3 linked regions of the Callithrix jacchus genome follow. The main gene of each other region encodes a partner of the protein of the gene in region 3 in a complex. Links are inferred from orthologs where the notes say so. Each region holds a gene or a part of one and is shown on either strand. Other genes may lie near its edges.

What was found. The genes of interacting proteins can lie anywhere in the genome.
Region 1: the proteins of SIAH1 (region 3) and CACYBP are in contact, whole or in part, in a crystal structure (PDB 2A25), measured with the Homo sapiens proteins. The link is inferred for Callithrix jacchus from reciprocal best matches to the Homo sapiens genes SIAH1 and CACYBP. Residues at the interface, in NP_003022.3 of Homo sapiens: Leu158, Gln159, Asp162, Ile163, Val164, Phe165, Leu166, Ala167, Thr168, Val176, Asp177, Trp178, Val179, Met180, Asn276; in NP_055227.1 of Homo sapiens: Lys59, Pro60, Ala61, Ala62, Val63, Val64, Ala65, Pro66, Ile67.
Region 2: the proteins of SIAH1 (region 3) and USP19 are in contact, whole or in part, in a crystal structure (PDB 4X3G), measured with the Homo sapiens proteins. The link is inferred for Callithrix jacchus from reciprocal best matches to the Homo sapiens genes SIAH1 and USP19. Residues at the interface, in NP_003022.3 of Homo sapiens: Cys130, Pro131, Thr156, Leu158, Gln159, Asp162, Ile163, Val164, Phe165, Leu166, Ala167, Thr168, Leu172, Val176, Asp177, Trp178, Val179, Met180, Asn276; in NP_006668.1 of Homo sapiens: Lys463, Pro464, Thr465, Cys466, Met467, Val468, Pro469, Pro470, Met471.

Annotation. Positions count from the first base shown.
Region 1 is NC_133519.1:28,150,118-28,153,704, forward strand, and holds part of CACYBP (calcyclin-binding protein), read right to left. Parts: intron 1,894-3,587; coding exon 1,674-1,893; intron 1-1,673. UniProt on the Homo sapiens protein: May be involved in calcium-dependent ubiquitination and subsequent proteasomal degradation of target proteins. Probably serves as a molecular bridge in ubiquitin E3 complexes. Participates in the ubiquitin-mediated degradation of beta-catenin (CTNNB1).
Region 2 is NC_133516.1:31,729,501-31,732,940, reverse strand, and holds the end of USP19 (ubiquitin carboxyl-terminal hydrolase 19), read left to right. Parts: intron 1-34; coding exon 35-195; intron 196-277; coding exon 278-456; intron 457-1,765; coding exon 1,766-1,993; 3' UTR 1,994-2,424; coding exon of another isoform or gene 2,425-2,541; 3' UTR 2,542-2,905; downstream 2,906-3,440. UniProt on the Homo sapiens protein: Deubiquitinating enzyme that regulates the degradation of various proteins by removing ubiquitin moieties, thereby preventing their proteasomal degradation. Stabilizes RNF123, which promotes CDKN1B degradation and contributes to cell proliferation.
Region 3 is NC_133521.1:6,077,565-6,081,725, forward strand, and holds the start of SIAH1 (E3 ubiquitin-protein ligase SIAH1), read right to left. Parts: upstream 2,830-4,161; 5' UTR 2,368-2,829; coding exon of another isoform or gene 2,277-2,367; 5' UTR 2,197-2,276; coding exon of another isoform or gene 2,166-2,196; 5' UTR 2,098-2,165; coding exon 1,917-2,097; intron 1-1,916. UniProt on the Homo sapiens protein: E3 ubiquitin-protein ligase that mediates ubiquitination and subsequent proteasomal degradation of target proteins.

The sequences.
Region 1 (3,587 bases), on a different chromosome or scaffold from region 3:
ATTAAAAAAAAATCTTTAAGTACTTAATAACTCAATATCAGGGCCAGGCGTGGTGGTTCATGCCTGTAATTCCAGCACTTTGGGAGGCTCAGGCGGGTGGATCACCTGAGGTTGGGAGTTCGAGACCAGCCTAACCAACATGGAGAAACCCAGTCTCTATTAAATATACAAAATTATCCAGGCATGGTGGCACATGGTTGTAATCCCAGCTACTCGGGAGGCTGAGGCAGAAGACTCGCTTGAACCCAGGAGGCAGAGGTTGCAGTGAGCAGAGATCATGCCATTGCACCCTAACCTGGGCAACAAGAGTGAAACTCCGTCTCAAAAAAAAAAACAACAAAACTCAGTATCAGAAGCACGACAGTTTGAAAGTCTTTCTTAATAGTCTTATAAAATGCAGTAACAGAACTACTAATGCTTTTCCTTTACTACAAGTCTTTTATCTCATTTAACTCAGATACCCTAGTTTTGCCTATCTTTAACAGACGACACAGTATAAAAAGTTCAACTCTGGCCGGGTGGAGTGGCTCACACCTGTAATCCCAGCCCTTTGGGAGGTCAAGGCCAGTGGATCCACTGGAGGTCAGGAGTTTGAAACCAGCATACACATGCTTTTCACTATACCAATATTCCATATATATCATGCCTTCCAACTCTTCCTCTGCTCATGCTGCTCCCTTTTCAACTTACTGAATATACAACTCACCCTTCACATTCAAATCTAATTTTCCCCGTTTCTCACCTCCAGAATTATTTCCTGAGCTATATTACCCACTATGTACTAGACACTATGAGCACAAAGAAAAAAAAGACTGTCCTTGCTCTCATGAGAGCTGATCACTCATATTCAAGTTGTACTGCCGCCAAAACAAAAAGCTGAATACACCACTGAAGGAAAGTGTTACTACATTGTTATAGTGTGAGTTATATGTCTGTGTCCCAACCACACCATGAGCAAGGACTGGGTCTTAGTCACTCTTGTGTATCCTTAAGTCCAAGCACAATAGTGATACACAGTAAGTGCTCAAAAACATTTATTGAATTTAACTGGATTCCTCTCCTCAGTTAATTGAGGTGGCTGTCAGAGTGCAACGTAAAACATTAAAAACCACCACCACTGCAGTGCCTCATATATACTGAACAATTTCAGAGTAAGTTGCTTCGTTGTTGCTATTCATCTTTGCACTGAATCACCTTATTGTTAACATCTTTTGTAAATTATCCCTTCCTATTTATTAAATAAAAACTGATGGGTCTTCCTCCAAGCCACCAAAAACGCACACAGAAAGCTCTTTTAAAGATAAATTTGGCCGGGCACGGTGTCTCACGCCTGTAATCCCAGCACTCTGGGAGGCCAAGGCGGGTGGATCACGAGGTCAAGAGATCGAGACCATCCTGGTCAACAAGGTGAAACCCCATCTCTACAAAAAATTAGCTGGGCATGGTGGCACGTGCCTGTAATCCCAGCTACTCAGGAGGCTGAGGCAGGAGAATTGCCTGAACCCAAGAGGCAGAGGTTGCAGTGAGCTGAGATCGCGCCATTGCACTCCAGCTGGGTAACGAGCGAAACGCCGTCTCAAAATAAATAAATAAATAAATAAAAATTTGTTACTAGATCACTATGAGGAATAGGTTGATCGGAGGCAGAACTGGTCTAGGGAAGCAAATCATACCATAATTACTGATTTTCACTGTATAGCCTGTTGTAATGGGAGCAACCACAGCAGCTGGCTTTTCATTTTCAAGAAGCTCTGCTTTCTTCTGTGATTTCTGTTGCATCTTGTTCTTGATTTCTGTCTCAATCTTGGATTTTTCAGCTGTAAGGGCATCTCGTATTCTTTTCCTAGTAGTCTTTTCCAGCAACACCTTTACCTCTTCTAGATCTTTCTGTAGCTGTGTTAAGACAAAAAATAAGTTAGCTATGATAAATAAGGCTATGGTTTTCTATTGTGCTTATCACTCATTTCAACTTACTGAAATAAGCACTAAGAATTAAGAGGTTCATCTAAATTTTCTAGGATTGAGTTGCAACTTCAATTCTTTCCTCTGGCTTATTAACTATAATTAACTCAAGCTTCCTTTTTTTTTAAAGGAAAACTTTGAACAATCTTGAACAAACAATAGGTAATCAAACCTAGTTTCCAGTTTGTATTTAAAATATTTACAAGACACATCTGCAACTTAGAAATTTTTTTTAACAAGGTGTTCATAGATTTCCTTGTAACATCTAATCCTAGTATCATTAGATGTTAAGACACTTTAAAAATATTTAAGAGATGAGAGAACATGCAGTGTAATACAGCATGGTAATATAGCAACTTTACTGAGGTAATGAATACTCTACTTTCTGTCACTGACTGGTCTTCATTATCTTCCCACCTCAAATACCTCACATAAAAAAAGTCTAAAGTTTTCAGACTAAAGATTTTTAAAAACAAATTTCTGCTTTTAAGGAAAAGTCTTGTTCTGAAGCTGGGTCTTACAGTCAGAAGTGTAGGAGTTGGGTGCACAGGTGACAAAAAACCCAAAATGCAACCTACTCTTGGAAATTATCTTTTGAAAAAGCCACCAAGTTCTTGTTTTCTTTTTATGCCAATCCATCATCTACTAAAGTCTACTACTTTTTACTTTCTAGAGATAGAGGCAACATTTTATGAAATTCAAGAGTTAAAGACAATGTTAGAAAATTATTGAGCCTAAGTTTTTTTCCCTAATTACCCTCTGACATACTGCAAATGCACAAGATCTTTCCAAACAGGTGATTCGCTTTTCTTACAATGACTTTTACATTCTGGCTGGATACTACCAACTTGACCAAAAAATCTTCTGTCACAGCTTGATTATGTCAGAAGCTCAATTTAAAAAAATCTTTAAGTGTTTGATAACTCAGAATAGCCAGGTGCAGTGGCTCACACCTATAATCCCAGCACTTTGGGAGGCCGAGGCGGGTGGATCATGAGGTCAAGAGATCAAGACCATCCTGGTTATTAGCAAGGTGAAACCCCATCTCTACTAAAAATACAAAAATTAGCTGGGCGTGGTGGTGCGTGCCTGTAGTTCCCAGTTACTCAGGAGGCTGAGGCAGGAGAATTGCCTGAACCCAGGAGGCGGAGGTTGCGGTGAGCTGAGATCGTGCCATTGCACTCCAGTCTGGGTAACAACAGCGAAACTCCGTCTCAAAAAAAATAAAATAAATAACTCGGAATATCAGAAACACAACAGTTTGAAAGCCTTTCTTAGTCATAAAATGCAGTAACAGAACTACCCATTCTTTTCTTTTACTACAAGTCTTTTATTTAATTCAGAGGCCCTAGTTTTGCCTAACTATAACAGATGACATAGTATAAAAAGTTCAACTCTAGCTAGGTGCAGTGGCTCCAGCACTTTGGGAGGTTGAGGCCGGTGGATCGCTGGAGGTCAGGAGTTCGAGACCAGCCTGACCAACATGGCAAAACCCTGTCTCTACTAAAAATACAAAAATTAACCAGCGTGGTGGCACATGACTGTAATCCCAGCTACTCAGGAAGCCAAAGCAGGAGAATCACTTGAACCCGGGTGGCAGAGGTTGCAGTGAGCCAAGATCACGC
Region 2 (3,440 bases), on a different chromosome or scaffold from region 3:
GTCTCACCCCTCCCTGACTGGACCTGACCTGCAGGAATCTGGACCTGAGCAAGTTCTGCATTGGCCAGAAAGAGGAGCAGCTGCCCAACTACGATCTGTATGCTGTCATTAACCACTATGGAGGCATGATCGGTGGCCACTACACTGCCTGTGCACGCCTGCCCAATGATCGTAGCAGTCAGCGCAGTGACGTGGGTGAGGGCACACACAGCCCAGCAGGATAGGTGGTAGGGGTGGTGGTACAGACTTTGTTCACACTCTTCCCACCCTGCTGTAGGCTGGCGCTTGTTTGATGACAGCACGGTGACAACGGTAGACGAGAGCCAGGTCGTGACACGTTATGCCTATGTACTCTTCTATCGCCGGCGGAACTCTCCTGTGGAGAGGCCCCCCAGGGCAGGTCACTCTGAGCACCACCCAGACCTAGGCCCTGCAGCCGAGGCTGCTGCCAGCCAGGTGAGGCATGTGGTAGGCTTTACAGAATAGTGGGGATAGCTCACAGACTGTGGGGCAGGGTTGGGGGATAGAGCTTCCTCTCCTCCAGCCACAGACCCCTTGAGCCTTGGGATTCATGAGAATTGCAAAGTTCCCTTACATCAAAGCCTTATCCAGAAGTATCCCCATACCCTGGGAACACTAACAAATGTACAGGTACACTAATAACATGCTGCCACTGGCAAGCACATTGGCACCCACTTGGCACAGATCAGGCAACTGCTCTGAACCTCACTGGGCACTGTGCTGTGAATGGACTATACCTGACAATTTCCCAGATTTCCCCCTCACATTCCCCACATGATAGCCCACACACCTTCACTTGTGATATCCCTGAGTTCTGGTGTGCACTCAAGACAAGGCCTATCTGGGCTGGCCATGGCCTCTGGTGGCTGTCATACTCTCTGAGGTAAACATAAGCATCTGTCTTTGCTGATCTTCTGTCTCTTTTACTGACATGGTATGCCATAGATCCAGTTGGTGGGCATGGGCACATCTCTTTTCTGGACTGGCTGCCTCCTTTCTGGCCCCATTCTCTTGAGCCCTCTGTCAAGCTTAGAGAAATTTCTGCAGAAGACTGGTCAGGATCTGGGTATGGATGGAAAGGAACAAGGAGATTGCTCTGGGATTGGCAACCCTGTTCTCTATGCATCAGTGTCATCTGGGGAGGCCTGGACTAAAATACTAACCAGATAACTCCCCACCCACCTCCATGTGGAGCTGCATGTGGATTGAGAGCTGTTTAGGGTAGGCAAAAATGCTATCAAGATTCTTTTACCCGGCCGGGGCGCGGTGGCTCAAGCCTGTAATCCCAGCATTTTGGGAGGCCGAGGCGGGTGGATCACGAGGTCAAGAGATCGAGACCATCCTGGTCAACGTGGTGAAACCCCGTCTCTACTAAAAAAATACAAAAAACTCGCTGGGCATGGTGGCGCATGTCTGTGATCTTGGCTGCTCAGGAGGCTGAGGCAGGGGAATTGCCTGAATCCAGGAGGCGGAGGTTGCAGTGAGCCGAGATCCCGCCATTGCACTCCAGCCTGGGTAATAAGAATGAAACTCTGTCTCAAAAAAAAAAAAAGATTCTTTTACCCTTGTGCTCTTAGTCTGGACAACCCTGAGGTTGGCTGCCTGCCTTCTTCCTTGCTGCTTGATCTAGAATGCAGGGTGTTAGCCCCAGTCACCCCAGATGGGACTGTCATGGCTAAGAGTCTCAGGGATACTGGGTCCTCCCCAACCCTGGGGTGCTGATGGCCGTTTCCACATACCCTAGGCTTCCCGGATTTGGCAGGAGCTGGAGGCTGAGGAGGAGCCGGTGCCTGAGGGGCCTGGGCCCATGGGTCCCTGGGGGCCCCAAGACTGGGTGGGCCCCCCACCACGTGGCCCTACCACACCAGATGAGGGCTGCCTCCGGTACTTTGTCCTGGGCACCGTGGCAGCTTTGGTGGCCCTCGTGCTCAACGTGTTCTATCCTCTGGTATCCCAGAGTCGCTGGAGATGAGCTCACCTGCAGGCAGCAGCTGTGAGCTGGCCTACCTGCCTGCCCAGGCCATGCCTGCCTTTGTTGTGGGGAACGTCTCTGGGCTTTGGGCCTCAGCTTGTGTATCTGGTGGGGGAGGGTGGGGAGACTGTGGCCTCTGCAGGGGCAGGGCATCCTAGGGTGGGTATCCATCCAGCTGTCTGTCCATTCATACCATACTGTTGCTCTGACCCTTGGCCTGGGGCTTGGCCCTGCCCAAGCTACTTCCTGTACGTAAAGTGTTAATAAAACCAGACTATTCAGGCCCGATCTCGTCTCTCTGTCTCACGCCGCTGCTGTCTGCGCCTGCCTTGGGACCCTCCCTTGGGTGCCAGGGCTCCAAGCCAGCACCCCCGGGATGCCAGGCGGCATGCTGGGCAGCCCCCAACCCCTGTCCTCATATTCTGTTGCAGGGACTAGGCCCTGGCCAGGCCCCCGAGGTGGCCCCCACGCGGACAGCCCCTGAACGCTTCGCCCCCCCTGTGGATCGGCCAGCCCCTACCTACAGCAACATGGAGGAGGTGGATTAGCAGGTCCCTGGCTGATGGGGGGTCCTGGGTATGGGAGACCCACCACAGAGGGCCAGCTCTTTGCTGCTTCTCCTTCTCTAATCCAGAGGACACTGGCTCTGTCAACGGGAAGCTGTGGGGTATGATTTGGGTGTGGAAACATCTCAGGTTGGGACTTCTTGTCAGCTTGGACGCCTGACCAGTGGGCTTTGGCTTCTCCAGCTGCCTCCAGTGCTGCGTGATTTGATTCTCAGTTGTACCTTCAATTCTTTCTGACCCACATTATAAACATAATTTTATTCTAAAAATTGTAATTTTTTTTTGCATTTTGGAAGTGATTGCTGCTGTTTAAATATATTTTAAAAATAAAAAATTAGTAGACTTAGTGACTGTGATCCACCACGTGCTGGGGCCACCTCCCCTCCCCATCATTTGGTCATGTCTGTGTGTGTGTGTCTGTGTGCATCTGTGTGCGTGCAGGTATGTATAAGAGACCTTGAAAGTGCTCTATTCTGAAGAGAGATGAAGGGGTCCCAGTTCATGTCCTATGGCTCATGAAACCCCCAGTGCTGTCAGCTCTTTGGAACTTACCTGCTGCTCTTTGATTTCACTGGTTCTGGGTCCCACATAGAGGCAGCTGTGGTTGGCATCATCAGGATTTCAATGCCCAAGAGACAGAGGAGTATATGAGGCACTGGAGTTGACAGCATGGAGTCAAAGGTGCATGTACCAGAGCAGCCTCGGGCTGACAACCAGACAATAAGTCAAGGAGGACTTGGTGGGGGACAGAATACTGGGGGTGGGGATCTTCCTCCTTATCAGTTCTCAGCTTTTTCTTTGCTTGAACAACATCTGGATCCCTACAGGTGGGAAACTGCTGTGGGGCAGATCTTGCTGCCCTGAAAAGAGGACAGGCAAAG
Region 3 (4,161 bases):
ACAGGTAAGATCCTGTGTAAAATCGGCACTCTGTAACCACAGAATCTGCATCTGAGGACTTCACCAGCCATGGATTGAAAACATTCAGAAAAATTTTAAAATAATACAAAATTTTTAAAATAAAACATATATAACTATTTACCAGCCATGGATTGAAAATATTCAGAAAAATTTTAAAATAATACAAAATTTTTAAAATAAAACATATATAACAACTATTTACCTATTATTTACATTGTATTAAGTGTAAGTAATCCAGAGATAAATTATACAGGAGAATATGCACAGGTTATATACAAATATGATAACATGTTCTATCAGAGACTTGAACATCCTCAGGTTTTGGTATGGGGAAGGGGATCCTGGAACTAATCTTCCGAGGATACCACGGGATGAGTGTAGTTCAAATGCCTTCCATTAACTCTTCTTAATGGTGAGCAGTTACCTACTCTAGAGGTGTAATTTAGGAATGAGGGGAGGGATCACAAGGGGAAAGATCTGCTGCCATCCCCTTTATCTATCAATCTGCCCCCCAAATTATCATCAGCCAGGTATTGATCTTCTTTCCTACTGATCAGTGCCCACCTCAAGAGTGAGGGGATGTACTCTCTAGTGAAGGTAGCAAAAATATAAAAATAAATAAAAACACAGCAAAAGTGAAGGGAGACGTGGGAGAAATGGAGAGCCATCTCAAATAAAACTTTTTGGTGTCGTAGAGAAAGCATATCTTTCTCTATTTGCAATCCACAATATAAATCAGACATAATGAACAAAGAAGGAGAGTCAGGGAGAAACTGAACAGGGGAAGAATACAGATAGCACGGCAGAGACACACCACACTGGGAGTGGGGGATGGAGTCAACAGGTGTAGAACCCCTTAGCCTAGGGTTCTCCAGCGTTGTTTAAACATTCATCAGCAGACTAATCAACATTATTTGACAGATAAATGTCATCTGGAAGAAATGATCGACAATGTAACTAGTCAGGCTGAGTCAAAGATAAAACAAGTAACTCATCCCAAAGAGCTCCCTGGGCTGGGATATAGGAGGCCACTATTTGTCTTGGGGGTGAAAAAATAGATCGGTCGATGTCCTAAGAATACACTCCTAGTAACTATACTAAGCCATATTCTTACAAAGTTAAAGCCTTAAAGTTAATGTTTTATCTCAATTATAGTCATTATTCTGTTGCAAGAAACTTTTGAGAAACAATGTTAGTTACCAATATGACCAAGTAAATGCAACTTGGGTTCTAGATTACTCAGGTGGTTACCAACTGATACCTTAAATGAAGGCTGAGGGTGAAGGAAAAATAAAGATTAATTCCACATCACTAAAGATATATTTTAAAGTTCAAGAGGCAACAAAAGTGACAATTCCATCATAATGTGTCTCATCATATAGACTCAGATCATGAATCAACTCTCATCTGAAGCCCTGTGTAACCCAGGTGTTCTGTACCCTGACAAAAGGACTGTAAAGGAACTCTCCTGTAATCCGGTTTCCCTGAGTGGATTCTTTGTACATACGATGATCCATACATTTTATGTCACTTGTAAAACAGTGGGCTCAGCATTGCCAAAACATCCTGGCTGTATGCTGTATGCCTACTGCATGGTCCAGTTTATGCTGCTTACTGAATTAACAGCATAACAATTAGAAAGTGTTTCCTTGGGCACAAAACAGTCTAGGCAACCAATACCTTTCAAATTACCAAACCAAACCAGAGAATCACATCCAAGGGCAGTAAACTCAGTTTATATTTAACACAACACAGCTACAGACCAATCAAAACATTATTTTTCAATTTCTTGACCTAGCAGTAGTTATACATTTATCATCAACAGTTCAGGCTCACATTACAATATATCTTTATCATTTTCCAAACACTGTAATAAAGCAGATTTTAACTCTTACTCAAAGTGTGAAAACCGAAATGGGAACAGGATTTCTTGTAAATGGAGGTATACAGGACAGCAACTGCTAAAGCCTCTCCAAGCTCCAAAGGTGCTACCCAGCTCCATCTTGAAACAGAAAAGGAATCCCAACCACACAGCCGCCCTGCAGTAGGAACCAAGGACAGCCCTGCAGAAGTCATGACGTAACCTGAAGTTTGATTTAAACAGAAAAAAAGCACAACAGCCCAAATGAAACATGACTGCTAACCTAGGAAACAGCTCGATTCTGCTGCAGCCATTCCGTAAGCCAGGCAGGTTCCACTGACTAACAGCGTTCAAGTTTCACAGCCTCAGCAACCCATCCTGTTAATGTCAATACCTTTTCTCTTCCTTGTCCTAGTCGCCGGTAAACATGTGAACAAGACTCCCCTCCAGGAGTAAAGAGAAGGTGGAATAGGCTTTCCCGTCATGAGAACTCAGGCAGCTCACTGCCTTTTCCAAGAAGTAAAGGTACAGGACCCTCCTGGGCACTTTCTGCTCCTAAACACAAAAGACCCAAATTGGCGTCTGAGGTCAGGATCCAAATATCGTTTCACTTCTCAGAAGCACCAGTTACAGAGGTGGAGAAAGAAAGCCTTTCCATCCCCAGGAGGCAACCACACCTCCCCGTGAGCTCAAATTCGGCTGCATCTCCGAAAATGGGAGCCACAGCTGCGCTGTCCTCCACCATGCCCTAAGCCTTCGTCTGTCTCCCAAGTTTGTCTTCTCCAGATTCACTGGGTAGGCTCCTGCTCGGCTCTGGTGGAGGGGTGACCCGCTGGCTGAGAAGGAAGTACGCTCCCTGAGCCAGCTCAGGGGCTACTGCAGGAGCCCGCCTGCCGGGAGAGCCATTTGGAGCCTCGGCCAGCTGGGGATGGGCCTGCGCCGGGAACGCCCGCTCCAACCAGGAGAGCCAAGGGCCAGTCCAGGGCGCGCAGCGTGCAGGGCGGTGCCCGTCTCGCTCGCGCAGAGGTGGGGCCGTGCCCGCAAGCCCCGCCCCACAACCCAGGGCGGGGCCGCGGGACCCCGCAGCTCTGACCCCGTGCCACCCCGCCATGGACCCCACCCCGCCATGGACCGCATACCACCGCACCCCAGCGACATCGAGCCTTCCTCAGCATTTCCACCAGTTTAAAGTTAGGTGGAACCATGCCGTTTTCGGTGTGTCAGAACAGTCTCATATCAGGAGTTTCTTACGGTTTCAATCTAAGAGCTACAGCGTATCTTGAAATGCGTGGCCACACTGGCGCTCCGCTCTACGTTTATCCGAACTCTAAAATTTTGGAGTGAAAACATTCTCCCTAATTCATTCAACAGCTATTTACTGGCATCAACTACTAATTTCCTCAATTCTAGCTCACTTCACTTCTCCTATCGGTAATGTATTTTAAATTCCCCTTCCCCGCTGCGAAAACACTTTGCAGGAAAAGTAGTAAGCATACTTCTGCCACATTAAACTCCTACTTAAACCTCCTAAGAGAGTATACTCTCTTCCCACTCTGGGAAAGCCATCTTAAATGGCCTCATTAAACGCAGAGTAGCTTGTTTTGTTTTTAAACAAGCATTACCCTTGCCCCAATAAAGTCCTGGGCCTCAGATTTGCATTGCATCAGCTAGTGCGTGCAGAGGTTTAACCTGTCATTACATCATGCTTAGGGCAGCCTCTAAATGCAGCAAGAGCTGGCAGAGAGGAATCAACCCAATGTAGGGAATTGCAGATTACCCACTTTCAGCAAGAAATTTTAACTCTAACCACTTCCTCACTCTATTAACAGTGTGTTCAATCACCTCAACCTCATTTTACAATATAGGCTACACAAAAGAGTATTAGGAAAAGAAATATGATTGAAAATAAATACAGTCTACCCCACAGACAAGTTTTTTGTTTTGTTGTTGTTGTTTTTGAGACAGGGTCTCACTCTTGCCCAGGTCTGAGTGCAGTGGCACAATCTCCACTCACTGCAGCCTCGGTCTTTTGGGCTCAAGCAATCCCCTCCCACCTGAATCTCCCCAATCACTAGGCACCACCGTCTTCGGCTAATTTTCTTTATATTTTTGGTAAAGACAGGGATTCCCCATGTTGCCCAGGCTGGTCTCAAACTCCTGGCCTGACACTATCCACCTGTCATGCCTTCCAAAGTGCTGGCCTACAGGCGTGAGCCACTATGCCCAGTCTGTATTTTTATTTTCTAACATTTATTCATTCAACAGATCTTAAGTTTCCC